Linked DNA regions of Coturnix japonica. The protein of the gene in region 1 interacts with the protein of each later gene in a pairwise test. Links are inferred from orthologs where the notes say so. Each region holds a gene or a part of one and is shown in the gene's direction. Other genes may lie near its edges. The genes, in order: MEOX2, FKBP6, PAK1IP1, CHRD, transcription elongation factor A protein 2-like, PACSIN2 and CHIC2.

Region 1 (4,172 bases):
CCCTTTTTAAAGACCTCATTATTACAGTTAAATCTAGAGACAATACTTAAAAAGCATTAGATGGCAGAAAAGGGGGGAAAGTCTTACCGTCGAAAGGCTGCTGCAGGTTCCAGCTCAGCCTGAAACTGCAAGGAAAAGCGGAGCAGCTGCTGAACAAAAGTTTTAGATTTTTTTTTTTTTTTTTTCCCCCAGAAAGTCTGCAAAACTAATTTCCCACAAAATAGGACTCAATTTCCGTTTAAGAAACCAGCTCTTGCAAATCTCATACAATTCCTGATTTTTTCCAATGGCAATTCGAATTCATTTTATCTTTCGCACATGGACCCAAGAGTTTAGACTGAAATGACAGAGCGCGGTGCTTTTTCTTTTTCCTTTTATTTTTTATTTATTTATTTATTTATTTCCTTTTCACTTCAAGTTTGGTTTGCGGGGAGGACGAGGAAGGTAGAGCGAAGAGAAAGGGAGAAGGAACTCAGCGTTTCGGCAGCGGGCATCTCTTTGGGCAGCGTTCTGTAAGCGCTTTATCTTAATATAAACCCGTATACAGCCTTCCTCGGCGCTACTGCTAATCCCACGACACGCGCAGCCCGGGCTGTCCCTCTCCAGGTTGTCCCACTATAAAGGCTGCAATGTAGCAAATGGAGAAGCAGAGAAGTTGGGTAAACTGCGCTTTTGGAGGGGCAAAAGGGGCGACTTGTCTGTGTTCGAAAACACGTGGCGGCTCGCTGAGCGCCGGGAGTTTAGTTGTAGACCCACAGGCACTGGTGGTCCCTCCTGTCCTTAAGGGCGAGGTGTGCGCGGAGGTGACTGCGGGGCTGCGCTAGGCAGAACAGCCTCGCACAGCCGGGCCGTGCCGTGCCCAGGTACGCTGGGAGCTCAGGTGGGGCTGCAGCCCCGCGCCCTCCAGGTGTATTTGATTTCTCCCACACTTCGCCCCTGTGCACATCCCGCTGGGTGTCCTTTATCGCGCTCCCTTCTGGGAGAGGTGCGGTGCGGGGATGGCCCCATGGGGCCCAGACGCCCCCCGCCTCGCCCCGCATCCGTCCGGAGGGGGGAGCGGACAGCCCCGGCGGAGCGGCGGACGCGCTCCTCGCGTCGAGGGGGAGGAGAAGCCGCTGCTCCCCTCCGGGCCGCCCCCGGCCACCCCCCCCCCCCCCCCCCCCCCCCCCGGGGCGCGCAGCGCTGCCGCCCGCTGCCGGAGCCGCTCGGCGCGGGGACGGCGCTGGCGTTTTGGAGGGAGTTTGCATGTGGTCAGTGCTGTGCCGCTAAGCCAGCCCCCAGCTCACATTACACACTACTGTATTTATAACCTCTCGGAGCCGTTTCCCCCTTCAAGCAGTTCTCTGGGACCACCTTCTATTGGCTTCAACCTCTCCCACTTCTTGACATCCGAGCGGCTCTGAGAAAGGCTCATCTAGGTCCGAGTGTTTATGCAGCGGAGACTGGCCGCTAGGGCTAAAGACCTGGATTATCTGAGCTCAGTCGCCTGCTGCAAAGTCGGTCGTTGCCGTTTTGGAAAAAAAAATCCCAGCCCCGATCTGTTTACAGTGAAAGTTGACAAAGGGTGGTGAAGTTGGATCCTTCCTAAACTCTCCTGCCTGGAACCTGAGACTTGCATGCCATGGATCACACACTCTTTGGCTGCCTGCGCAGCCCCCATGCCACCGCGCAGAGCTTGCACCCTTTCTCCCAGTCTTCTCTTGCCCTGCATGGAAGATCCGACCACATGTCCTACCCCGATCTGTCTTCTTCTTCTTCCTCTTGCATAATAACGGGATACCCCAATGAGGAGGGCATGTTTGCCAGCCAGCATCATAGGGGGCACCACCATCACCACCATCATCACCACCACCACCACCAGCAACAGCAGCACCAGGCTTTGCAGACGAACTGGCACATCCCTCAGATGTCGTCTCCTCCCGCCGCGGCCAGGCACAGCCTCTGCCTCCAGCCGGACTCAGGAGGACCCCCGGAGCTGGGCAGCAGCCCCCCCGTGCTGTGTTCGAACTCCTCCAGCCTGGGCACTACCACCCCTACGGGGGCAGCGTGTGCGCCGGGGGACTATGGCAGGCAGGCTCTGTCCCCTGTGGAAACGGAGAAGAGATCTGGGAAGAGGAAAAGCGACAGCTCAGGTAACGGCGGCTTTCCCTGCGGGGAGGGAACCCCGGGCGGAGGGTGTCGGGGAGCTGCGCTGCAGGGCCCCGGCTGTCTCGGCTCGGCCCTGCTCCGTTTGCAGCGGGGCTGCCACCGGGCTGCCCTCGGCCGCGTTCTCGGGATGTCCGTCATTAAGGGCAGCTTTATTAGGGCCGCGGGGGGGGGAGAAATAAAAAGGAAAAATCCAGCACGTGATAGCGCATGAAGTAGTGAAGGTGGCGGTGGCGGGAGGAAAGTTTCCATCCGACAGGGCGAGAGCTTTCGTAGTTTCGGAATGGATTTTAGCATCTGGCCCCTCGTCCCCCTCCCTCTTGCCGATCCGCCACCTCTGCTTCGAAGCTGGGGACGGGACACGCTCCTTGCCTCCGCCCTGACCGCGGGCTGCGGCATCGCGGCGCTGAAGAGGGAGATCGCAGCGTGGGGCTGCACGGGACGGTCCGAAGCTTTTGCGCTCCGTGCGTAGGATCTGGCCGTGCGTGCAGCTCGGTCCTCGGCGTGGAAGGGGAGAAAACTGGGGTCCGTAGGCCAAACGGGTGATTGAAAGCTTTAGAAAGTTGCTAGTACCGGGGGCGGAGGGAAGGAAGGAGCTGTCTGACTTTTCACAACACCACAACTCTTGCTTAAAGACGAGCAGAAAAACATATAGAGCCGCAGTTATTTTAGGAGGGTGATTCAGGAGCTCTGAGCGCGCAAAAGCCTTGACATAATCTCTGCTTAAGCCGGCTGAGCCTGGCATGGGCAGCTCTGACCGAAGGCGTGCGGTGCAGGCGATGTGAAGATAGCACACACAAACCAAAGGGCCGTCAGGGATGCAGCGAGGGGGCAGTGGGCACTTGGGAAGGAAAGGACTCGGTGCTCTGAGAGCTCCTGAGCGGGCGTAGCGAATTGTATATTATCAAGGAAGAGAAAGTGAAAGGCTTTTCCACAGAGCTGTGGAGTTCCCAATCGAAACCGTGACCTCTTGCAGCCAAAATGTTGTTGGCTCAGTAGAGTGGTGGACGATTGGAACCGTTTAGGAAAATGACCCCAAAGGATACCATTATTACATTAATAAATTAATTTTGTCATTCAAGATAGGATTAGTTGAGTTTTATCTCATGTAGCCGGGCTGAAAAGTCTTCCAGGAATGAAAGCTGTACTTTGTCAAACAGCGGTGGTGAATTCCATCATTGCATCTTCCTTACGCTTTATGAAATAAAAGGAATTGTCAGATTTTTGTGCGGCAGATGGGGAGTGCTACAATTTGAGTCCCTGTTACTACTGAAAAATGCCTGTCGGTGTAGGGATTTATTGTATTTGTCAGTGTACTTAAAGCTGAAGGGAAAAAAAGGAAATGGGTCCCTTTCACTGACAGGGAAGTATCCGTATTGCTTTCTGTTTATTTAATTTTGTGATGCATACAAAAAAACACACTGAGGAATGTCACAGATTGTATCCTGAAATGACTGCAGCCTTCCATTGGATTTAGTGGACACGGGTGGGAACATCAAGTTGCGATTGTGCTTACATTGATAGCACTGTGCTACACACCTCACTTTCTGAGACTTTCAGAAGACCAAAGTAGTTAACTGCTGATTGCCCCCTTCTCTCTCCGAGGAAGAAAGCGTTCTGTCCATTCACACAATGAGGAACTTCACAAACTGAAAATAGGCACCTTCTGACAGCAGCTGGGTAGCTCCAATGTCTTTGGTTTTTCTTCAGGAAAAGGCAGAATTTTGGACCAACCATTTAACCCCACCCCTTTATTAATCCTAAGCTCTGATGCTACTTAATGCCATCCTAATGTATGGCAGCAAGAACTGTTGTTAGTCGCTGCATTTCTATATTTGTAATCCATAATCGCCCCTCATTAGATTAAAAATCACTCCCTTTATTTCTCATTAATCTGCTTTTTTAAACAAATGGACGTCCTTTAAAGCATTTCATCCCCCCTCCCTAATTTTTGGTGACAGATTCATCACACTTGGAACCACTTCAATAAGCGTTTGTATAAAATCCTAATAGTAAATAACTAAGAA
Region 2 (4,161 bases), on another chromosome or scaffold:
CCATGAGACTGCATGGGGGAACCAGCTTCAGTTGCTCACAATTAAACCTCATTATGTCCGACTCGCCACCACTCACGTGCCCTGTGCTGCCTCCTTTGCCCTGGCTCGGCTCTTCCTGGTGCCCCACACCTGATGAACGTCCCTCGGCTTCTCCTGACCAAGCTGAAGAGTTCAGTCCCATCCGAAGGGCGGACGTGGCAGGCAGTGGGTGAGCGGCCCCTCAATGGGTGAGGAGCAGCTGCCCCCCGGCCGACTGCCCCACTGTGTCTTCAGCCCCACAGAGGCTGTTCCTGCTTGTAAAGTGCTGCAGGGTCACCAGCAGCAAACACAGCAGTGAGCAGCGAGTTCTGGTGTCCTGCAGCCCAGGCTGTGCCGATGGTACCTCCTCCTTCTGCCCCCTGAGGCTGCCCAGTGCTTCGTGCACCCAGTACAAACACATCATATGACTCAGAGCCTTGATAAGCAATGAAGCTGTTTGCCTTGGTGGTGGTTTCGGTGAGTCCCACTCTGCTTTCAGTCACTCACAACACTTGGATCAATGGAAACATGTGCACTAGAAAGCTTTGTTAGCAGCTGAAACTTCTTTGGTTGAGTGTTGGATTTTTGTTTGTTTTTGTTGGTTTGGTTGGTTAGAACTGCTTCACTCTTAGAGAAGACAGAAGACAGAACCCACAGTCACAGGATCACAGTCACTGGGGTTGGAGGGGACCTGTGGAGCTCCCCATCCTCTAAAGCAGTTCTGCACTGCACAGGGCATCCAGACGGTGCTGCATGTCCCCATTGGACACTCCCATCTCCGAGCTCCCCGTTCATGTCTCCTGCACTCCTATAGGAAATCGGTTCTTCCCCACATTTCCATGGCTGTTGTAACTTCTTGTTGCCCCGTTTTGTTGCTGCACACACACAAGGTCCTGACCCCATCAGCTCCACTCCCCCACTTCGGGCACTCACATACAGTGCTGAGCTCCCCCGTCCTCCTGTGCTGCAGGTGAGCAGCTTCTGATGGTGCAGGAGATGCTTCATTTCCCCCCATCTCTGTGGCCCTAAACCTACATCCCCCATAGAGCCCCATAGTGCCCCATAGAGCCCCATAGAGCCCCATAGTGCCACGCGAGCCCCGTGTCGCTCCCTCCTCCCATTGGCCAGGGGCCGCGCAGGACCGTTCCCGCCATCCTGGCGCGCCGGCGCGTGGCTTTTTAGCGGCGGGAAATCCTCGGATTGTGATTGGCCGGGGCCGGGGGGCGGGGCCGGGCTGGTGGCGCGGAGTGCGATGGAGGCCGGCGGCGAGGTGGGAGTCGGAGCCGGGTCCGAATCCGAACTGTGCTCCCGGTTCCGGAGCGCGCTGTCCGCCGCCCTGCAGGACGTCACCGGGGACGGCGGGGTGCGCAAGGAGCTGCTGCGGCCCGGCACCGGGCAGCTCGTGCCGCCGGCTGCCACCGTGGCGGGTACGGCCCCGGCCGAGGGGCCGCGCTGCGGAGGCGCCGTTACCCCGGTACCGGGGTGGCCGAGCCGGGAGGGCTGGGGGGGTTTTGCTGCTCCTGTCCGCCCTTTGGCCGGGCCGTGTGTTGGTTGGCCGTGCCGTGTGTCGGCCGTGCTGTCTGTTGGCTGTGCTGTCTGACCGGGCCTGTGGAGCACAGCCCCCATCCCGAGGGGCCCTGAGCTTGGTCACTGAGTGCACGGAATTTCCTCGGCACTTGTTGCAGCTGACAGGTTGAACTGAAGGGCGTCTCGACCTTGAGCAGAGCTGGACCTCCAGCTCCCAGCCGTGTGCACAGCACAGGGTTTAAGCTGGAAGGGGTTCCTGTACAAGGGCCTGACGAGTGGCAGGGGAAGCTCCTTATGGTGTTTCTCCTCATTGAGTGACAACTGGAGCTGGCCTCGCTCTGGCAATAGCAGCTCAAGGACTGTGTTTGGTCCTTTATTTGTTCCCAGGGCTCCGGCTTTGAGAGCAAGTTTGTGAAGTCCTGCAGATAACTGGGGTGTTTTCATTCTGTGGCTTAACTTCCCATTCTCCCCCTGTCTGCAGCTCACTGGTTCTACACAAAATTGCATCTCTCGTTTAGATAAGAATAAAGGCTTCTAAGCAGCTGTTTTACCCAGTGCTGATGCGATCAGGTTTTTGTTAGTGGTTTGTGCTCCCTCTGCTGCTTTAAAGCAGCGGGGAGGAAAAAAAGCGTGGTTGCAAAACTGACTGAGTGTACTACTGACAGCATTGTTATCAGACACAGTATGTAAACCTTGCTGTTCTCTCCTGTCTGCTCCTTGTTCTGGGCCGTGCAGTGAAGTACTTTGGGTATCTGGAGAACATGGAGAAACCTTTCTGCACAAACTGCACCAAGAAGCTCCCGAAGCTGATGAAGCTTGGAGAAGGTAGGTTGGTCCTGGGTCTCATGGGGTTCTAATGGCTGCCTGTTAGGGCATGTAAATTTAATTGCTGTCTGGCATCTTGAGGTCTTTTTGAAATCTCTAAAGCTTCTGAATGGAATCAGAAAGCCTTTTCCTTGTAGATGGAGGTCAGACTGGAGCTGATCACACACCATGCCGGCAGTGAGCAGCAGGGCCTGTGCTGTTGGTGGCAGTGTGGTGCTTTCTGCTGTTGTCTTTAAGCAGCTTCTCACCTCAGTGTTTTTAAATCACTCAAGAGGAGACAAGAATGTCTGCTGTGTGCTTGGTCCCACGGCAGTCTGCCTCATTAATCCAGACGTGAGTTGTGCAGCAGTGTGTGCCTCGAGTTGTGACAGTGGGGAACTGACCGCTGTATTGCTCTGCTAACAGGGACTTCCTCTTAAAGCCTGGAGGAAAATTCTCATTTGGAACCTGAGATTGGGTGCTGGTTTGGGGATTCTCATGACCTTCTGTTTCTTGTTGTGACAGATATCACACTGCAGGGTCTGGAGATTGGTGTCCTCACGATGAAGAAAGGAGAGGTGGCAAGATTTATCTTCGCACCGAGTTATGCCTACGGCCAGCAGGGTTGTCCTCCTCTGATCCCCCCAAATGCCACGGTCTTATTTGAAGTGGAGCTGATAGACTTCCTGGACTCTGCTGACTCTGACACATTCTTTGCGTTGACAGCTGTGAGTTGCTTTAATAAGGCTTGGGGCACAAACCTGGAAGATAAACTTTGCTGTCTTTCCCCTCACTTGTTGAGGATCGTATGTTACATATGTTTGTTTAATGCAGGAGCAGTTTTCCAGACCTTGGGTTGCTGGATCCGTGCAGATATGAGCCCTTTAGAGTTTATCTTGCACACCTTGTCCTGTTTACAGCCCAGTGCAGGGGGAGAAGCTGGGTGCTGCCTTTGTTTGCTGCCCCGTAGTGGAGTCGATGAAACAAGTTGCATTTATTTTCAGCTTTACCAGAAACCATAAGGTTTCACTAGAGGGCACCAGCTTCCTGGAAGTTCTCTGCAGTGGCAGAACAGTAACTAGCTCTGTTTAAAAACAAAACCCTTGTGAAGTCTGGAGCATTGAAGTGTCCCCTGCCCCCCACCCTTTGTCTTTGTTTCTTGGCTGCTTTCCCAAGTGCTCCTTCACTGCTCACTCTCCTCCCTGGTGAGTTACCATGTTATTGTTAATTCTCCCTTTTCATGTAAGAGGTTTTGGGTTGTAGTTGTGGGTCAGTGATTGGGGCACACAAAGCAATGCTGATGGAGGGAGGCCCTCCTCATTCCCTCACAGCTCTTGCAGAGGCTGCTTTTTCCACACCCAGCCCTGAGATCAAACTATCTGTTGCATGGGGGAGAGCTTACTCCCCAGCTTCCTAACTCATCCCTCTCTGGAACTGATTCAAACTTCAGAACCCCAGGGACAACCTGCCCATCTTTTGTTACTCTTCTTTTTTCCTTTTTCCACCCCTTTGCTGGATTTATGTCCTGAGCTGTTGTCAAGCTGATCATGGAGCCACCCAGTGCTGCACTGTTACAGCAGTGTGCCTTTCCCTTTTATGCTAGGAATAGTGCTTGTTTTTTGTTGTTTTCTTTTTTAGTGTCAGCTGTCTGCTCTCTGCTGAGCAGTGGAGAGTAGGGCAGGATTTAGGAAGAAATTCCTGCTTTTTTTCTTGCAGGGTCCCTTTGTTTCCTGACCTGTTTTTTAGCGCTTCTTGCCAGGAGTTACCAGCACAGCAGCAGTGCAGAAGGGAATCACTGTGGTGGTGGCCTGG
Region 3 (2,927 bases), about 41 Mb from region 1:
TGTAATCCCAGGTCTGCTTTTACATGATTGAAACAGTGATTGAGGAACTCTTAACTTTCTCTATATTGTTGTCTTTACTTTGGCCAAATGTGTGATTTTCTTTCTTTTTACTGCACAGACAGATCTTCGTAAACCCCTGCATAATTCTGTGGGTTGCTCTGCCCAGCTCTGAGAGGCACAATAGCATTACTAGAAATTGTTTCTAGAGGATCAGTGCTGCCATTCTGCACATGTGTTTGTGCCACATTGTCCTAGGGAACAGGTTGCCCAAGGAGGCTGTGGGTGCCCCATCCCTGGATGCATTCAAGGCCAGGCTGGATGTGGCTCTGGGCAGCCTGGTCTGGTGGTTGGTGACCCTGCACATAGCAGGGGGTTGAAACTGGATGATCGTTGTGGTCCTTTTCAACCCAGGCCATTCTGTGGTTCTATGATTCTCCCAAAAAGGAGTGGGAACTGGGCCATAAAATACTTCCTCAGTTTAAATAGTTTAGTAAATTTTTAAATAGAAGTGATGATTAATTAATTTTCTTTTTCTATGTTCAGATTGAAAACGTGCCATCCTTATTATGTGAAGTCAGCACCAAAGCTCGGCTGACATGCCTTGCAGTGTGGCTTGACCAAGCTTCAGAAACGAAAGAAAATTGTGGAGAAGCTGCAACACCAGCTGAAGGTAATAGAATTGTCTGTATGTTCAGTGGTTAATGTGACTGTGAAATGTAAGATAGTGAATGGGAGGTTTTTACTGTATGCCTTGGAAAAAGCTTTTGCAGTTTGAAGAATTGGGGATGTGACACTGGCAAGTTGCATAGATATCTGCACCCATTTAATAGTGTCTCAAGCATGCACATAATAAAGCCACAACTATGGAAACTATTTGTGAGCGGACACACACACAGGAACTGAGTGACGATTTGGAATGGAGAGAAATAGTTCTTTTGTGTGTGGAAACTTAATTTGTGATACCTTGCATTGTAAGTAGAGGACAGCTTTTCACTTCTGGGATATGAAAGCTTTGTTTCTCTTCAGTGGAATAACACACACTGGGGGAGACTCTGAAGCTCTCACAGAATCACAGGATGACCCGGGTTGGAAGGGACCTCAAGGATCATGTAGTTCCAAACCCCCTGCCTGGCAGGGCCACCAAACATACACCTTTACTAGATCAGGTTGCCCAGGGCCCCGTCCAACCTGGTCTTGAACACCTCCAAGGACGGGGCATCCACAACCTCCCTGGGCAGCCTGTTCCAGGGCCTAACCACTCTCCTAGTGAAGAACTTCCCCCTAACATCCAACCTAAATCTTCCATCTTTTAACTTAAAACCATTTCCCCGTGTCCTGCTATTGTCAGCCCTTTCAAAGAGTTTACTCCCCTCCTGGGTGTAGGTTGTCTCTCAGGACAGATAACAAAAGAATAAACAATTTGACAGAACTGCATGTTCTTGCATTCCTATGAACAAAATTAGATCTGATGCTGGTGCAGCTGGGCAAACTTAGGAAGTCTGGCTTAGGGGTTGGTTGGTAGCATGAGTTGTTTGGGTTTTTTTGCTGTTGTTTTCCTGTCTAGTAAGTTGTTCCATATTTGATCTTTAGATGTTTTCTTAACAGAAAGTTGCGTAGCTGGCACACTCCGCTCTAAATAAACTATGGTTTAAATTCCTCCTTTTTTTAAATGGGAGATACAAACAAGCCTGTAATATTTTAGACTACAGACTGGAAATAAATATCAGAGTGAATAATTTCTTGCTTCTTTCAGCAAATGAAACTGAGAAGCCATCAGTAGTCAAGAAGAAGAAAGTTTGTGGGATGAATAAAAGTGGTAAATTGCTAAAACAACGCAGAAGAATTGTTCCAGCTAAGCGAAAATTGGAAGCTCCACTGCAAAAGAAGAAAAAGAAGCAGAAGCAGAATAGCTCAGAATGAAGGTGAATGCTGTTTCTCCTGGATAAGAAGTAACTGCTGGTGTTGCTGTAGTTTTTACAAGGATATTTTCCAAGCAGAGGACAAATACCTCAGAGCTGATAGGATTTTCCAGAGTAATTTATTTTTTACCCAGATGAATTGGCTGATCACTTTGAGAAGCAATAAAAGAGATGGCAACTTTACCTGAGAGAACGAAGCTAAAATAGCCAGCTAAAATGATAAAAAGAGCGACATCTGCCTCAGTTAAACTTGTGTGTCTCAACTATATACGTATTAAAGTTCTATATCATTTTTCATTCTTATGTTGGAGGTTCTCTGTTCTGACCACTGACAATATGATCTGCCTTTGCCACTCATGAGTTGTGAGAATGCCATGTCTGAATAGGCAGTAAACTCCATTAATATGAGCCCAGTTTAATTCAGCAATGAAGTTTGTTGTTCTGTTTTTAACTTAAATAGGCTCCTACAGTTAACACACAACTTAGGCTTTTCTCTCATTGAAATTTATATATAATAAAGAGATGTAACATTTTGTCTTAGGGCAAAACGGCTGCCTCTAATAGAACAATTTTCACTGTAATTTCAAATACACAAGCCCATGGCTGTGAGCATCACAGTGACCGAAGCCAGGTGTCACCAGCAAAAAGCCAGTCTGCACTTCATCTTCAGAATGCCATGCCCACCGACCATGTCCTTCAGTGTCACATCCACACGGTTCTGCACCACCTCCAGGGTTGGCGACTCCACCACCTCCCTGGGCAGCTCATTCTAGTGCCTGACCACTCTTAGGAGAAGAAATGTTTCCTAACATCCAACCTGAACCTCCTCTGGTGCAACTTGAGGCCATTCTCTCTTGCCCTATCGGTGTTTCCTGGGAGAGGCTGACCCAAAGAGGTACCAGAAGCAGTGCTGAAGTGGCACAAGAACCTCGAAGCAAACCAAAATCAGCAGCCTGGAGGCCGCCCCAGAGCTCCAGGCGAGTTACCCGCAGCTCCAGCTGAATGGGA
Region 4 (4,405 bases), on another chromosome or scaffold:
GTAGGGCGTCACACATGGGATAGCCGTGGTGTCCCATCCCCGGAGGTGCCGGCGGAACGTCCCGTCGGGGAAACCCGGCTCCCCATTGCTGGGGCTCGCTCGTGTCGAGTGCGGAGGGCACAGGGATGGGGCACCCTGGCAGCAAGGGCGCGGTGCGTGGGGTTGCAGCCCCCCCAGCTGCTCGCTGTGCTGTGGGGAGGCCCAGGAGGAGCTTTCTGGGGAGGTAAGGGCCTGTTGTGCTCCAGCTGCGCCGTGTTTCCCTAGTTACACCGTGCAGCTGGCCGGCTGTTTGCACCGCCCAGAGTTGATTTTGGCAGCCCGGCGTTTCCCCCTCCTCCCCTGCATACCCGCCCGCCTCCCACTGGTGGGGGGGGACCCGGCATCCCGTTCCCTCCCTGCTGGTGGGGGAGACACGGGTGGGACACACCACCCCCCTCTCTCCTTTTGCCCCGTGCCTCAGTTTCCCCAGCTACACTGTGCTCTCCCCAGGCCTTCCCATGGTGTCTGCTCCCTGCCCACCACCGCTGCTGCCCTCGTCAGCCCGGGCTCATGTGGGTGAAGAGCAGGATCCCTACTGGGTGCTGTTCCCGTATCCTCGGCCGTGGCACCTCCTTGGGACCCCAGGTCCTGTCCCTATGCTCGTGGGAACAGTCCTGTGGCACTGCTCTGGGGTCGCCCTCTGCCCTGGGATCTGGGGATGCCAAAGGCACATGTTGTGGGGTGCGTGAGTCTGACAACACGTGGCACAGAGTGGATTTGTGGGGGATGCTGAGGGGAGATGTGCCCTTTGTCCCACGGGTGATCCAATGGTGTGGGGGAAATGAGGGCTTGCAGGGGCTTTATGTCCTGGTGGAGTGTGAGGGGGGGATGTGGATTGGGGTGTACTCATGGTGTCCAGTGCCCAGAAATACCCCCAAGCCCCACAGAGGGGGGTGTGAGTGTGGGTTCTGCATTGCCCCAGTGAGTGCTGTGTGGATGTGACGGGGGTCCCCCACACCCTGACCAGGGGCATGCAGGTGAAGGGGTTACATTTGACCCTCATGCTCCAAGGTTGCTATGTGAGCAGGGGCTCCATACCCGAGGTACCCCATGTCTGGGAGGGGACCAATGGTTCAGGGGGATCCAAGGGATGCTCCGTGCCAAGGGGTCCCTAATGGTGCTTCATGGACGGGTTCTCCGTAGGTACCCTATTATCCCAGAGCAGGGGGTCAGTGGCTGGGGGGGGTCCCTATGCCCAGGGGGCCGGGACCCGTTTGGGAGGAAGGAGGGGGGGCTCGGTTCGCGGCGGGGGCGCGTCCCCCCGGCCGGCCGCTGCCTGCGCCTCATTAGCGGCCCTTTGTTTGCACAGGGCTCGCAGCTCCCGCTTGCCCATGCCGCCGCCTATAAAGCGGGGCCGGGGCCGGCGGCCGGGCAGAGGCGGTGGCAGCGGAGGCGGCAGGCAGCGCCCGGCCCCCCCTCCCCGCCCCCGGCCGCCCGGTTCCCCCGGTTCCCCGGCACCATGCGCACCGCCCTGCTGCTGCTCGCCCTGCTCGCCCTGCCCGCCCGCACCGCCCGCCCCAAGCTCGCCCTGCCCATCCGGCCCGACAGCGATCCGTTGCCCCCCGGGGGGACGGCAGGTAGGACCCCCCTCCCTGCACCCCTTTCCCTTCGATCCCCCTTTCCGTGCACCCCCGCTGCATGCAACCCTTTTTCTTCCAACCCGTGCACCCTCTTTTCCGGCACCCCCCCCCCCCCGGTGCATCCCTTTTATGCCCCCCAACTTCGTCCCCCCCCACCCCCGCCTGCCCGTGCTGCCGTTCGGTCCCAATAACCGGGTCCGTACCCGACGGGGCGGTGCCGGACGCTGTCCGCCCCATCGGGGCTGCGGCAGGGGGGTGCCCGCGGCCCGGAGGTGACTTTTTTCTTGTGGGGGTGTTCCGATGATGGGGTGGGGATTCATCTGCAGGTTGTGCCTTCGGAGGGCATTTCTATGCCCTGGAGGAGACGTGGCACCCCGACCTGGGGGAGCCCTTCGGGGTGATGCGCTGCGTGATCTGCCATTGCGAGACGGTGAGTGCCCCCCACCCCCTCCCCTGCCAGGATAGGGGACCCCCACACAAGAGGCCCTGCTGGGGACGGGATCACCCCTTCGTTCATTACCCCTGCCCCGAGGGAAACGGCAGCGGAGATTCCTCCAGCCGATGCCACACCTGGATACCCCCCAGCAGCGGAGGGTTAAAGGCTCATGCTTCATTCTCCTCCCTCCCCTCCTCGGAGACGGCCCCCTCCCTCCAGCAGCCCCCCGAGGTCAGGGCTGGAGGGGCTGTGCACAGCTGGGCAGGGGGGTGGGGGCCGGGATTTGGCTGCCATACAAACAGCTGGAGGCTGTGCAAGGTGTGTGGGGCCCAGGGGTTGTGCAGATGGGCTGAGAGGATCGGGGCTGCACCAGAGGAACACTGGTACCCACTGCTGTGCCATCCACTGGGGCTGGATGTTGGGGTTAGCTGTATCTGTGGCATAATTAGGCACAATTTGACACAGTTCTTACCACCCCAGCAGAGGAATCGCCGAGGGAAACCAGTGGGGAAAGTGAACTGCAAGAACATGAAGCAGGATTGCCCTGTTCCCACTTGCCCCCGTGCCACGTTGTTGCCCGGGCACTGCTGCCACACCTGCCCCAAAGGTGAGCATGGTGCTCTCACCCACTGCTGGGCTCAGGCTGGGACATGAGACACTGGGCAGCCCCACGGAGGGGCTCCTTGGTGTCAGGGTTACCCGTGCCACATCCATCTCCCTGCTGTGCCTCCCACGCCAGCCTTGCCAGGACCCCCAGAGAAGAGCTCCGAGCCACCTTTCGACACCTTTGAGTACTTCCAGGACAAGGAGGACGAGCTGGACAAGCCATACAATGACCGCTCCTACCTCAGCTCCGAGGGTTTGGCACGCGACGATGCCCGCACAGGTGAGCCCAGGCAGGAAAAGCGGTGCAGGGCATCCCCGTGCTCCTCTAGTAATCACTGTAATTCACCCCCATAGAATTCGTGGCCCTGCTGACGAGCGGCCCCGAGCCGTGGCACCCCACGTCCGGTGCAGTGGCCAAGGCTCGCTTCACCCTGCTGCGCTCCTACCTGCTCTTCTCCATCAGCTACGAGCGGTGAGCACAGCCTGAAACCATCAAACCTGGGGATGCGATGCTGCTCGTGCCTCAGTTTCCCCTCTACCTGCCCTCAGTGCTATCACAGCATTGTGTTGGTGGGGTGAGATTTTGGGAGGGGGCTGTGGGTGCAGTGGGAGACAGGCATTGTGCCATCCTATGGCCCAGCTCATGGGTACCACCACAGGACCCTAAACCCTTGCCCTCCCCCAGTGCCCGCTGTCTGTCTCTCCCTCTCTCCTTCCCGCACGGGTTGCTTCTGCTGTTCCTCACTTCCAGGCCCCTTTACATAGTAAAGTGGTGACTAATTTCCAGCTCCAACCAGGGGGAGCCAAACTGAGCTGAAAATGCTCCTAATTTACAGCCAGGCCGAGCGCTCAGCTCCCGCCGTCCTTCCCAAATGTGCACTCCCTCCCACACGGTGCCAACCTGGGGACCCCTTGGCACCAATGCCAGCTGGCACCCTGCTCCGTGTCCCACCCCCCCTCAGGCACTACATGGGGCCGGTGCCAGGCACGTGGGCTAGGAGTCCCTGCTCAACCCCTGGTGCTTGCAGGCTGGGCCGGCCGAGCCGTGTGCGTTTCAGTGACCCTGAGGGCACCGTGTTGTTTGAGCACCCAGTGCAGAAGAACGCAGCCCCTGAGGACGGCATGGTGAGAGGAGTGGGCAGGGCAGGGTGATGCGCATGGCACACCAATGCCGGTGCCCCATGCCCAGCTCTGCTGTATCCACAGCTCTGTGGGATGTGGAGGACAGTGTCCAAAGCCAACATACAGCTGCTGCGTGCAGAGCAGCTCCGCGTGTCCCTCATCACCCGTGCTCAGCCCTCCGGAGAGGTGCATGGACACATCCTGAAGCACCGTGCACTCTTTGCAGGTAAGATCCACCCTCATGTACCCCCACACCCATGTACCCCCTGAGGGGGTTCCCTTTAAAGTGCTCCTCATGTCTTTCTCCCTGCACAGAGACATTTGGTGCCATCCTGACCTCATCAGACCCTGCACATCTTGGGGCCGGGGGCATGGCCATGCTGACACTGAGCGACACTGAGAACAACCTACACTTCATCCTCATGGCCCGTGGGCTACTGGAGCCAGGAGCTGGGGGTGAGGGTGGGCACGGGCACCTGCAGGGCATGGCATCACTGGGGGGACTTGGGGGTCCATGGTGTGCAATTGGCTTGGGATGCATGGGGTCAGGATGGGAGTGCGCAGGGGGATTCAGATGTGCATTTTGGGGCACAGGGTGTGTGGGGGTGCAGTGGGAGTGCAT
Region 5 (4,144 bases), on another chromosome or scaffold:
TGACCCGGGTTGGAAGGGACCTCAAGGATCATGTAGTTCCAACCCCCCTGCCTGGCAGAGCCACCAAACATACACCTTTACTACATCAGGTTGCCCATGGCCCCGTCCAACCTGGTCTTGAACACCTCCAAGGACGGCATCACAACCTCCCTGTGCAGCCTGTCTCCAGGGCCTAACCACTCTCCTAGTGAAGAACTTCCCCTAACATCCAACCTAAATCTTCCCTCTTTTAACTTCAAACCATTTCCCCGTGTCCTGCTATTGTCAGCCCTACAAGAAGTTACTCCCCTCCTGGCATAAGCCTTTCAGGTACTGAAGGCTGCAATGAGTCACCCCGCAACCTTCTCTTCTCCAGCTGAACAAACCCCAACTCCCTCACCTGTTCCTCATATGGGGAGGTGCTCCAGCCCCCTGATCATCTTCCTGTCCCTCCTCTGACCCTTAACAAACTCTCCATTCTTTCTTATACTGAGGGCTCCACACCTGGACACAGTACAACAGATGGGGCCTCACAAGAGCCGAGTAGAGAGGACAATCACCTCCCTATCCCTGCTGACCACCCCTCTCCTGATGGAGCCCAGGATCCCATTTGCTTTCCAAATGGGGGCTCATGGTCATGGGGCTCTTTCCCAACCATAAGGTTTCTTCCTCCCTTCCTCCCTCCTCCCTTCCTCCTCCCTTCCTATCTATCTATCTATCTATCTATCTATCTATCTATCTATCTATCTATCTATCTATCTATCTATCTATCTATCTATCTATCTATCCATCCATCTATCCATCTATCTATCTATGAGGGCTCACAGCCCATCTCACAGCTGCAGCCATCCATTAAGCTCAGCCCACCTGGCCAGGCAATGGGAGGGGTAGACAAGGTTCACCTGTGGCAGGGTGTGGGGAGCTTATAAAGGGCAGCACTAATAAAGGGCAGCACTTCAAGGTTGGAGGCTGAAGGTGTTAGGACTTGCTAGGGCACACCATGGGGCTGGAGTGAACTATGGCTGGGGTGTGCCAAGGGCAGGTGCCCAGCCCGGCCTATGGTGCCCCCCGGCCATATGAGCTCAGCCCTAAAATGGGGGGGGGGGGGGGGGGTGGAACGCGGCCTGCGGTTCCTCGGAGGGGCCGGACTACATTTCCCAACGCACCCCACCAGCGCAAAGCATGCTGGGAGTTGTAGTCCCTCCTCTCGGCCTTGCGCTGGGAGGAGGAGGGCGGGTGGGAGCGACTCGGACTACAAATCCCATAGTGCCCCGCGCGCCGCCCGTTCGGACTGCGGTCGCGGGGGTTGAGGTGGGCAACGGGAACAACCGGCGTCCGTCCGTCCCTCCCCCGTCACAGCCCCCGGGTATCGTCGCTACGGGGAGCGGAGCGATGGGCGGGGAGGAGGAGATCGTGCGGATCGCCAAGCGGCTGGACAAGATGGTGGCGAAAAAGAACGCGGTGAGTGGAGGCCTCCCCCCCTATACACACATTGGGGAGGGGGCACCTTCCATAGAGCCGCGTTATTTGGGGCGGGGGTCCCTGTTTTAAGGGCCGGCTCTGTGTTCCCATTCTAAGGGTGGGGGCTCAGCCTTGCCCCCTCCCCAGGCCTGCAGGTATCAAGGCCTTTCCCCCCCCCATCCCCTTATGCCCTCCGTCCCCATTGCAGTGCGGTTAATCCCACCCTGTTCTACCAGCCGTCTGTGTTGGATGGGAGGGCACTGTGTTCTCCTTATGAAGCCCCTCTACCCCCATATTGTGCCCCCCAGCCCGACACCTTGCAGCTCTCTGCTTCCTTACTAGTCAGCACTCCTTTCTTCCCCATCCTCTTTATTGGGGGGGGGAAACCCTTTTGCATCCCCACCGCATCCCTGGACACATCCTTAGGTGACCCCCAGTGCTTCTGTATCGCCCTCCTGCAGCCCTGTCCTATAGATAAGCTTCTGCTTATCACCATCAGCCTTTAGAGCACAAGGGTTTGGCTGTGCTGCTCTCTGCCTGCTGTGGGTCTTATGGGGTGTCTAGTGGGTCTCATGAGGTGTCTAGTGGGTCCCTGCAGTGGGGAGGGAGGGACTGATGGGATGTGTCAGCTGCTGCTTTTCTCAACAGCATCAGCAGTACCATGGAAGCAAACTGGGTGCAAGGAGGGCTTTACACCAAAGGGACCAGGTGTGGAGGGGTGGGAGGTGATGGGTGAGGTGGGGAATGGATTAGGGGAATGAATGTTGGGTTATGGGGCATTAGGTGCAGCTGTGATTGGTGAGCTTCTGGGTGTTGGACTGAACGCTGGTACCTGTGTAGCTGTTGTACCAACAGGAGCATGTGCTTGGGCTCAGTGCAGCCTGTGATGTCTGTTCCTGTTGATGGAAGGTTTGCTATGCCGTTGTTGAAATAGGAAAGTAGTAACTTTGAATTTGCTTCTGGGCTTCACTGAGAAAGAGGCAGCTTCTTAACAGAGTGGTATGCAACCTTTCCTCTTGGTTGGCTTCTCATCTGTTTATTTTGTATTCGCTAATTTGCAAACTCTTCCTGCAGGGAGATTGCCTGGAGTACCTGTTTGTTGCTCTAGTTTGTGTGTGGATCCCTATTGGCTGCCGTTTTCCCCATGTGTGGCTCCACTTCTGATAACAGAAGCACGAATCACCAGGTCTTTTTGTATGTTAAGGGCTGGATTTAATGGAGCCTTTTTACTGTTGGAGGAACTGAAAGGTCTGGACCTGCCTGGATGGGGAGCTGCTCATTCCTGGGTACTGCTATGTGTGGCTTATGCTGGTGTGAGTTGCTTCTGTGTGTGCTGGAAGCTTTCCTTCTGCTTTCATTTGGCTTTCTCAGTCTCTGTTCTCTAGGGTGGCACTAGCAGCCTGATTGCTTCCTGCAGTGGATGGGAAACAGCCCTTGTGCACAGAGAATGCAGGACAGTCTGTCCATGTCACTACGATGATGGGTCCTATAGGTCTTGTGCTGCAGATGGGCTTGAAGTTGTTAGTGTTGGAAGTGAGCTGTTGGATGTGAACACTGGAAGGCCTTGTTTGATAGAAGAGGGTAAGGAGGAGTTGGCTGAATGGAGGTAGGCTTGTTGTGGCTCATGTTGCTGTCCTTGCCTTTTGTCTTGTACTACCAATTTTAGGCACCTACAAGGTTGCGAGGCAGATTTTCTGGATTATTATGGGATGTGAAGCTGGTACAAGAAAACCTTATATAATGAGTTTCAAGCAACCAGCCCCTTAGCTTTGCTGCTTGATGCTTTGCTCCTAGTACCAGCTGCTCTCAGCAGAGGGGGATGGCAGTGTTTCCACTGGGAAGTGGCCACATGGAGCTTCAAGTGGTAGAAAGAGGATGCAGGTAGCTGTGGCTCTAGGCAATGCTTTTGAGATGTAAGTGGGTGACTTGAGTTCTTGCAGCTCTGCTGAACTCTTTTTACAACCTAATGTCAATAACTGGCACTCACAAAACAGTTGGATAGAATTAATCCTGCAAACCAGATGGGTGCTGAGGCAGCATTTGTGATTCAAAGTGTATTTTTCAGGTGTTAGAGGTCCTAAACTTGTCAGGTGAAGGTGGTGGCCTAATGCTCAGCAGCCTTGATGATGTTTTAAGGAAGAATTGTTGTCTTTGATTTCAACTTTCTAAATTTATTCCCAGCTGTTGCATTTCTTTACTGAAAGCTGAGGCACCCATTCTCTATATCTTTTCTTCTCCAGGATGGTGCAATGGATTTACTAAAGGAGCTGAAGAGTATGCCCATGACTTTGGACTTACTGCAGGTGAGTTGCACAGTTAGGGTGCAGAGCTGAAGTCTGTCTCTGGATGAGCTCAAGACGTTGTGTAAATGAGTGTAGTAATTTACTCTGGCTTTTTGCTTTACTCCAAGCATCAAAATAAATATTACCTCTAGGAAACAGCTCTGCACCTCGGTGTTGGACTGACAATGAAACAGCTTTAGGCCACATTATGCTGCCTGAAGTTTGTGCACAGCTGATGAGGCAGTTACTCAAATTCTGTCTTAGCTGCTCAGAATAAAAGGGAAGATGTAAAGGACAGTGTGCTGGGGGAAGAAGTTCTTTATGTCTTTGTAGTGGTGATATTCAAGACATTAGGGAGATATTGAACAGAATAACAATTCAGAGATGAGGATGCACATTTGGGATTCTTTCACTCTAAACTT
Region 6 (3,709 bases), on another chromosome or scaffold:
GCTTGCGTCAAGTATTTTGATCATCTAAAACATTGCCAAGCAGTAATAATGCAGAACAATTTCTTAATAACTATTGTGACAATTACCTATACTTACACTGCAAGACTAATAATGCATAGATTCTTTTGTAATGCTGTATTTATATTTGACTGAACTGTGTTTACTGAATGGCAAGCTTGCTTTTTTAATAACCTTTTTTTCCTACAGGAGGACTTGTCACCCTTGTGGTGTTCTTTCTGGGAACTTCCAGCATCTTCCATGCAGATCATACTACAATTTATTTCTGATATCTTATATAAGTTAGGTTTTAAGATTAGTTGAAAATTGGATATACTGGATTGTATAACCAATGAATTCCTGATAGCAGATTCTTTCTTGTACTGTTGCTGTATGTGTATTAGAGACTTAGCTTGCCTTCAGATGTTTCAAGCAGGAATTGCTAAGTGTTTGTATCTTTACAGGTTGGAAATTACAAGCGGACAGTAAAGCGAATTGATGATGGTCACAGACTTTGCAACGATCTCATGAACTGTATTCATGAACGTGCACGGATAGAGAAGGTCTATGCTCAGCAACTTACAGAATGGGCAAAAAGATGGAAACAACTGGTGGAAAAAGGTAATACATTCTCATTTTGAACTCTTAAAGATTTCTCAAATAGGAAAAAAAGACTGGAATGCTCTTGGTAAGTTGAAAGTAGAAATGCTTAGCTTAAGTGGAACCTTTGCAAATGGCTTAGCAGTGTAACAAATGGGTCTTTCAAAGATCAAGCTTTCCTTGGTTAAGACAAAGAAAAACAAAACAAAAAAAAACAAACAAAAGACAAGACTTAGCTCCTTTTCTAATTTGCTTGTTTCTTATGGAAATGGATGAATCTTGCCATCTGGTGTTGATGTATCCAAATAAATTCAGTTCTATGAATTAGCTGTTTCTGGGTAAATAATGGTAGAGAACACAATGTTTGAAAGTTTGTCTGCCTAAGAAGGTGTCAGTGGTTGCTGGGGAAACATTAATAGAAAAGTAATGTTTTAATGAAAGGCTGATCTGATAGCATTTTAGTTATATTCTGAGTTAGCTTTTCTTTTCATGGTTGTCCATGCTTAAAAATCTGTTGAGAAATCGAAGGCAGCTCAAAGACGAGCTAATAAGCATAATATTGGAAATTGCAGTTTAGGGAGACACAGGCCAGACTAAATGAATATTATTTAAGTATGATTGTAACATGTTGTATTCTAAAACTGTCTGGAAAAAAAATCCCTTTTCTAGATTTGCATAATTATCTACGAATTCCTATTTAGAGATGAATGTAAGTCAATAGCTTCAGGTAGTCTCTTGAGAATATAAGTTCCATGTGGGTGATGGTTATTGAGAATGACACTTTCTGTTGTGTTTAGGCCCACAGTATGGAACAGTAGAAAGGGCTTGGTGTGCTTTTATGTCAGAAGCTGAAAAAGTGAGTGAACTACATCTAGAAGTAAAAGGTTCACTGATGAATGAAGACTTTGAAAAAATCAAGAACTGGCAGAAGGAAGCCTTTCATAAACAAATGATGGGAGGATTTAAGGAAACCAAAGAAGCAGAAGATGGATTTAGGAAAGCTCAGAAACCCTGGGCAAAAAAGCTGAAAGAGGTACAGCAGTAGATTGTATTAGATATCCTGTGTTACAATATATTAATGTCTCAAATCTCTGTAAGGGAGTAAACTCCCTATTTTCTCTGCTGGACCCTCCTTTCTCAAAAAGATCTCTTGCTTTCTGTCCTCTTCTGAAAATAAGTATTTTCTTTTGGTCTCTTCTTAATCTTGGTGACTTCACTGAAAATCTGAAAAAAAGTAGAATTGAAGTTATTTTAATAATATCTGGTCCCATGCATTGGGATGTTACGTGTTGTTCAAAGAAATGATCGGGGAAAAGTATTTGCAGATTTTCTCCTTGTAACACAACCTTCTTAAATGACAGGTTTGTAGAAGAAGGGGAGCAGAGGAACATGGGCATGAGGAAAAATTGTTGTACTTGAGACTTCCTGTAAACCTTTCTTGAGTCTTTCTTCACTTTTCTAAGCTTTTATAAGTGATATTTGTTGTATGGTAAAATATGTTGATTTCAAAGTACTACAAGAATTTCCTTACACTGATTATTGTGTAGTGTTCAATCCTTGGCCAAAACAAAAAACGTACCAAAAAACCTAAACCAAAAAAAAAAAAAAAGCCCCCATCCTGAAATAAAACCATCACAGTTGTTTTATAAAGTGTCACAGGTGTAGAGATTCAAATCTTCTTTTTAGGTGGAAGCTGCAAAGAAAGCATACCATGCGGCCTGTAAAGAGGAGAAGCTGGCTATATCTAGAGAGACAAATAGTAAAGCTGATCCAGCGCTAAATCCTGAACAACTCAAGAAATTACAAGACAAAGTGGAGAGAAGCAAACAAGATGTACTAAAGGTATGACTAATATATAGGCTGTCCATGTGTAAAGGTCTTATTCCTCCTGTATGTGTTGTGGACTGCAGCACGGCTTCTTCTGTAACAGTCCTATGCAAAAATTTGGGATTTTTAACAAGGCATGTCATTGCTATGTTCTTTCCTGAAGAACAGATGATATAACCTCTATTTTACGTAAGTACTTTGAGTAGGGAAAGAAATAGAATAATACAAGTGTTCTTCATATTTGATAGTGAGGACAGAGTTACTTCATTTGAGAGAATATGAGATAGATGCTTAAAGTGTACTGGCATCTAAATGTGTCAGCATTCCTGACTGTACAATACACACTTCTTAAAAAATTATTATTGAAGGAAATGAAGTTGATACAGTCTATTTAAATGAAGTGAATGTGTGACTTCTGTTTTTTAAGAAAATATTTCCCTTTCCAATGTTGCTCTGTGATCTGGATGGCCAACATTATGTTTGGTGGTATCTCTTACTATCTCTGGACTACTGTTGTAAATTAATCTAGAGTCCAAGATTGTGTTTGTTAACTGAGCTCACTAGATTTGTGACTTATGTTCACAGGAATGTATGCAGTTATACTTCTTTCTGTTTGTAACTCACGGTGGACTGCGTAAATTGCTGAAGGGGAAATGCTAAGACTTCAAAATTATTTGGAGATCTTTAACTAAGAGAACCTGTAAATTGAAAGACTACTTGCTCTTATACTAAACACCTCCTTTGTTTTTTATATTTAGGATTACGTTTACTTTTTTTATGATTTCTAAAAAGCTGGAGAGGAGGCTTAGGCCTTTATTGTAATTGTTTTGTTATTTTGTTAGGTAAATCTCATCATGATCAAACAGGGTAATGGTGGTAATACAATGAGAATGTGGTTCAGTGTATTTTACTCCAGGTCTTGCTTGATACTATATTTGTGGGTCTCATAGGACTGTAATAAAAATATTGCTAATTGATTTCCTTTTTTCTCATTCCACCTCAGACAAAAGAAAAGTATGAAAAATCACTGAAAGAATTAGATAATGCCACTCCTCAGTATATGGAAAACATGGAGCAGGTATTTGAACAGTGTCAGCAGTTCGAGGAAAAACGCTTACGTTTCTTTCGAGAAGTGTTACTGGAAGTTCAGAAACACCTTGACTTGTCTAATGTTGCAAGGTAAAACTGTGCAAGACCTCAAAACTAGTGCTTAATATTTCTAAGCCAAAAGTAATCCATGCTTCAAGTAGGTCGGTTTAAAATCTGACTTAATATGTTGCTCAGT
Region 7 (3,709 bases), on another chromosome or scaffold:
TTCATTAAAGGCTGCATCTAGACTGAAGAGCTCTATGTCACAAAAACACTTAGACAACATTAAACGCTGTCTGCTATTTTACAGAATATGTTACAAAGTAAACCTTCACATCATTGCTATTCTAAAAACTATATTTGAATTGCAGTTTAATATTTGATTAGATATTAATGTGTTTTCTAAGAAAAAATGTAAAAGCTGGATAGTGTTAGATCTTTTTAATAAGCAAGTCTCTCTTCCACTTAATTTGTGCTTTTGTTGTGGCTAACAAATAATTTGCTGTATAGGTTTTTCTGTACACCATTGACAGAATATATAAGCTTGTCATCCTAGTGTGTTGGAAATGCTACACTCAAATCAAGTGTTCCTTTCTGGTTTTGTATATCCTCACCTGCTCCTCACTGTAAATCATTGAGATGTCAAGAGCAGTGATTAATTAAGCTGCACGTGCAAGTGCTTTTTTTCACCTGTCAAGTAGGAAGAAAACTTACTATAGTGAATTGTGTGATGCTGCTTAATTCATTTCTTTTTATTCCAAGCACTGAGATTTGCAAAAATAATTTACATTCTAATTTTCATTAACATTCTACTATATGTAATGTGGTGTGATTTGAGACTTGTGTGTCTCCCAGTTTATACTCCAGGATGGTTTGGATGTACATCCTTGGGAACACAAATTATCATGGTCACAAGGCTGCGTGTGTTTTTATCTAATGCTGCTCAAATGACTTTAAACTGGGTTCCTATTTAAGACAACCAATTAATACTACATAACTACCTATCAGTTTCTTATTTATGTGTATGCATTGTAATATATTTGTAATTTTATTGGAGTTTGAAAAGCTTAGATGTTTTTCACACTCTTTTGGGCAAACAATGAAATTAAATTGTATAGTGATCTTAATCTATTATTAAGAGGTCCCGGCGAGGAAGATTACAAGGTAGATTCAGGTTTTGAATCGGTTTTGCCATTGGTTTAGCAGCGGGTGGGCAGGCAGATGCCTGCTCAGAGTAGAACCTATTGCCATTTTTCACCATTGATAGAGTAGCCTTTCAGAGTCAATGAGCTCTGTCAATGTGAGCTTGTCAAGGCTACAACTTCATAGACCTGAGAGGCGGTTTGAGAGGTCAGCCCTTTTCAGGTTTGCTGTGATGCAAATGAACTTTAATGCTTAAACAACTATTGGAATTTTTATGTCTGCTCCTTGTTCTTTTTTCTTCACAAAGTCATTGACGAGACATTCAGTGCTTTTTAAATTGGAAGTTGCATTGTGCTAAAGACCTAGTACAGATTTACGGAGGGCTGAAAGCAGTTAGATCATGTTCTTTTCATGGTGCGATTAGAATCAAATCGATTTCCCTACAGCCTTCAGCATTCAGATGGCAATTTTAACAAAGCTTGGGGGCTAGACAAGGGACAAAACGACTGAACTGAATGTTAATTACACTCTGCAGCCTTATTTTCTTTTGATTTGGAGCTGACTGGCAACTAAATTAACAAAAGTGTGACCATAACTGCTGCCCTATTTTCATTTAAAAGGAGAGCAGACTCTAAAAGGCTATCTTTACAAAGAAACAAGTGAGGTCTACTGATTATTGTTAAAGGGCACTGTCTTTAAAAACATAATAATAACAATAACCCCCAAAACGCTCAATTCCAAACTGAAGTGATAAATTAGTCGCTGGCACCTCCACCTTTGGATAATTCCTTGACTTACGCTTTTTAAAATACAGAATAATAAAAATTCAGTTTAATGAGTATTTATGGATGGCAATGATCTAATTTTTAATCACGTGACCTCAGTCCGTGCTCAGACGTGCTTCCCTGTAGCCACCACAATATTGTGTCGGAGAGTAACTGGAGTTTTTAAAGCAGAAAATGTTGTTATATGATGGGAAATGAATAATTTGTTGTCTGATTTTTAGTTTGCTCAGACATTCTTGTTTGCCAGGACAGCATTTAGCTTGATTTGTTAAGGTTCATTTACAGTACTTGTATTTTGTAGTAATAGCAGCAAGATGCTTTCTCATCCCTTCCCCTCACCCCTCTGTGCCTTGTAAGGAAGCTGCAGCTGCACTAAGTTGTATTTGATCCTTGTCATTGCTCCGTCCTTTTGCACCTGCAGCTCTGTTGGTCTCATCTTAACACCTGGCACCATGAATTATCCTCTATTTATTCATAGTCAGTAGCAAATCCCATTTAGAGCTAAGCAGTATATATTCTGGCAGTCAAATGACCATAAATGTCAGAATGTATTTCTCAAATGTAAATACAACAGAATAATTATATTCAAAATGCCGTGAAACTTTACAGCGCAGAAAGTCCTTTAATGCTCGTGTGTGTGGTTTGAAAAAGCTGCGAAGAAACAGATTTTGGAATTCTCTATCTGAAGTGTCAGCTGTGGAAAAGACAGGCATTCAAACTTGGCTTTAGAATCCTAAATACTGGGTTTGCTCTTTATACAAATCATAGGCTTTCTAACATTCGCTTCTGTTGAGTTACTGAAACTTCTTGCGTTTTGGATTCGCTCCCTAAAATCTGAGTATAAAAGTAACAACTCCTTTTTTGTTTGCTTTAATAGACTACTGCATGTTTGTACTCAACCTATGACACTGTAAAATACTGTTTGCAACTTTAGTCTGCTGAAATGCTGACCTTCTAAGAAGCAGCGTTTAGACCGCTGGTACTTCTGAGCTACGCTCCTGCATTTATACTTAGGTCACGTTAAAGTTTCTGTAACAGGTTTTGAAGCTGTAACTGCTACGAAGGTGAATATATGCGAACAGATTTTGTTCCAAACTGGTTATATCTTTCTACACTGTTTTGTCAATAGTTACTTGTGTGTCAAAAAAAGCAGTTTTCCCCACTGGTTACTTTTTAAAACCAGGGAAGTTTTGGTAGTGCTGCAGACCACCCTGTACTCAGTCACTGTCCTGTACCTCTCTCCTTTTCACACAAAAGCAGCTGCAAAACAAAGTTTTTCTAAAACCACTCAAGAGTAAAATTCTTTCTCATTTGTCTTCCAGACACGAAGATCGATTGAGAAGTTATTAGAATGGGAAAACAATAGGTTATACCACAAGGTGAGTGCCGCAGGGAGCAGCTTCGTACTGTTGGAGTTTGAATTGCACAGTATGGAAACAGATGCTTTTGTTGAACGAAAAATATGAAAGGTGGACAAATGGGCCAGTCTGTGTGCTGCAATAAAATACAGCTCATTTTTCTTCTTTTTCTTTCCTCCTTGTCTAGCTGTGCTTGCATTGGAGACTAAGCAAAAGGAAATGTGAAACGAATAACATGATGGAATATGTAAGTTAAAGGGCTGTTTTGTGAGTTTCTCTATTAAATGATCATTTATTTTGCTTCTGATCTTATTCTTTTCGTGATTATTAATCAGTAAAGGTGTCAGGAGCTTAATCGCCTTGAGTGCAAGGATTTTCTACGGTTCACAGATGCATGGTTTCATGTGCAGGACTGATTTATAAAGTTATGAATGACTTGAAAACAAGGCTTCACTGTGTTCTAAAAAATAATAAATTAATTGCCAAGATAAAATAGCTCAAACATGAGCTGATGGAGTGTGAAATTTTAGATGCTGTATAAAGAATAATCACAACTTTGGTTACGCAGCAAGTCAGATATGGCTGTTTTATATGATGCTAATCAAGTCTAAAAGTATGGAAGAAGACCTTTCAATTAAGCTGTTGGAGC

What was found.
Region 2: the proteins of MEOX2 (region 1) and FKBP6 interact in binary tests that used the Homo sapiens proteins (3 or more experiments, as listed by UniProt). The two-hybrid records come from large-scale screens. The link is inferred for Coturnix japonica from reciprocal best matches to the Homo sapiens genes MEOX2 and FKBP6.
Region 3: the proteins of MEOX2 (region 1) and PAK1IP1 interact in a two-hybrid assay, tested with the Homo sapiens proteins (2 studies listed by BioGRID). The two-hybrid records come from large-scale screens. The link is inferred for Coturnix japonica from reciprocal best matches to the Homo sapiens genes MEOX2 and PAK1IP1.
Region 4: the proteins of MEOX2 (region 1) and CHRD interact in binary tests that used the Homo sapiens proteins (3 or more experiments, as listed by UniProt). The two-hybrid records come from large-scale screens. The link is inferred for Coturnix japonica from reciprocal best matches to the Homo sapiens genes MEOX2 and CHRD.
Region 5: the proteins of MEOX2 (region 1) and transcription elongation factor A protein 2-like interact in binary tests that used the Homo sapiens proteins (3 or more experiments, as listed by UniProt). The two-hybrid records come from large-scale screens. The link is inferred for Coturnix japonica from reciprocal best matches to the Homo sapiens genes MEOX2 and TCEA2.
Region 6: the proteins of MEOX2 (region 1) and PACSIN2 interact in binary tests that used the Homo sapiens proteins (3 or more experiments, as listed by UniProt). The two-hybrid records come from large-scale screens. The link is inferred for Coturnix japonica from reciprocal best matches to the Homo sapiens genes MEOX2 and PACSIN2.
Region 7: the proteins of MEOX2 (region 1) and CHIC2 interact in binary tests that used the Homo sapiens proteins (3 or more experiments, as listed by UniProt). The two-hybrid records come from large-scale screens. The link is inferred for Coturnix japonica from reciprocal best matches to the Homo sapiens genes MEOX2 and CHIC2.

The regions. Positions count from the first base shown.
Region 1 is NC_029517.1:25,764,027-25,768,198, reverse strand, and holds the start of MEOX2 (homeobox protein MOX-2), read left to right. Parts: upstream 1-1,224; 5' UTR 1,225-1,621; coding exon 1,622-2,132; intron 2,133-4,172. UniProt on the Homo sapiens protein: Mesodermal transcription factor that plays a key role in somitogenesis and somitogenesis and limb muscle differentiation. Required during limb development for normal appendicular muscle formation and for the normal regulation of myogenic genes.
Region 2 is NC_029534.1:199,791-203,951, reverse strand, and holds the start of FKBP6 (inactive peptidyl-prolyl cis-trans isomerase FKBP6), read left to right. Parts: upstream 1-1,235; 5' UTR 1,236-1,270; coding exon 1,271-1,445; intron 1,446-2,280; coding exon 2,281-2,370; intron 2,371-2,874; coding exon 2,875-3,077; intron 3,078-4,161. Other genes in the region: E3 ubiquitin-protein ligase TRIM50, read right to left, coding at 130-181. UniProt on the Homo sapiens protein: Has an essential role in spermatogenesis. It is required to repress transposable elements and prevent their mobilization, which is essential for the germline integrity.
Region 3 is NC_029517.1:66,932,748-66,935,674, reverse strand, and holds the end of PAK1IP1 (p21-activated protein kinase-interacting protein 1), read left to right. Parts: intron 1-543; coding exon 544-670; intron 671-1,753; coding exon 1,754-1,920; 3' UTR 1,921-2,222; downstream 2,223-2,927. UniProt on the Homo sapiens protein: Negatively regulates the PAK1 kinase. PAK1 is a member of the PAK kinase family, which has been shown to play a positive role in the regulation of signaling pathways involving MAPK8 and RELA.
Region 4 is NC_029524.1:13,952,586-13,956,990, reverse strand, and holds the start of CHRD (chordin), read left to right. Parts: upstream 1-1,466; 5' UTR 1,467-1,498; coding exon 1,499-1,616; intron 1,617-1,945; coding exon 1,946-2,049; intron 2,050-2,538; coding exon 2,539-2,662; intron 2,663-2,794; coding exon 2,795-2,941; intron 2,942-3,015; coding exon 3,016-3,133; intron 3,134-3,689; coding exon 3,690-3,786; intron 3,787-3,867; coding exon 3,868-4,009; intron 4,010-4,098; coding exon 4,099-4,239; intron 4,240-4,405. UniProt on the Homo sapiens protein: Dorsalizing factor. Key developmental protein that dorsalizes early vertebrate embryonic tissues by binding to ventralizing TGF-beta family bone morphogenetic proteins (BMPs) and sequestering them in latent complexes.
Region 5 is NC_029535.1:8,421,205-8,425,348, reverse strand, and holds the start of transcription elongation factor A protein 2-like, read left to right. Parts: upstream 1-1,253; 5' UTR 1,254-1,371; coding exon of another isoform or gene 1,372-1,440; intron 1,441-2,300; exon of another isoform or gene 2,301-2,439; intron 2,440-2,514; 5' UTR 2,515-2,636; coding exon 2,637-2,726; intron 2,727-3,680; coding exon 3,681-3,743; intron 3,744-4,144. UniProt on the Homo sapiens protein: Necessary for efficient RNA polymerase II transcription elongation past template-encoded arresting sites.
Region 6 is NC_029516.1:62,881,930-62,885,638, reverse strand, and holds part of PACSIN2 (protein kinase C and casein kinase substrate in neurons protein 2), read left to right. Parts: intron 1-461; coding exon 462-618; intron 619-1,394; coding exon 1,395-1,630; intron 1,631-2,283; coding exon 2,284-2,439; intron 2,440-3,427; coding exon 3,428-3,603; intron 3,604-3,709.
Region 7 is NC_029519.1:59,097,763-59,101,471, forward strand, and holds part of CHIC2 (cysteine-rich hydrophobic domain-containing protein 2), read left to right. Parts: intron 1-3,024; coding exon 3,025-3,081; intron 3,082-3,247; coding exon 3,248-3,307; intron 3,308-3,709.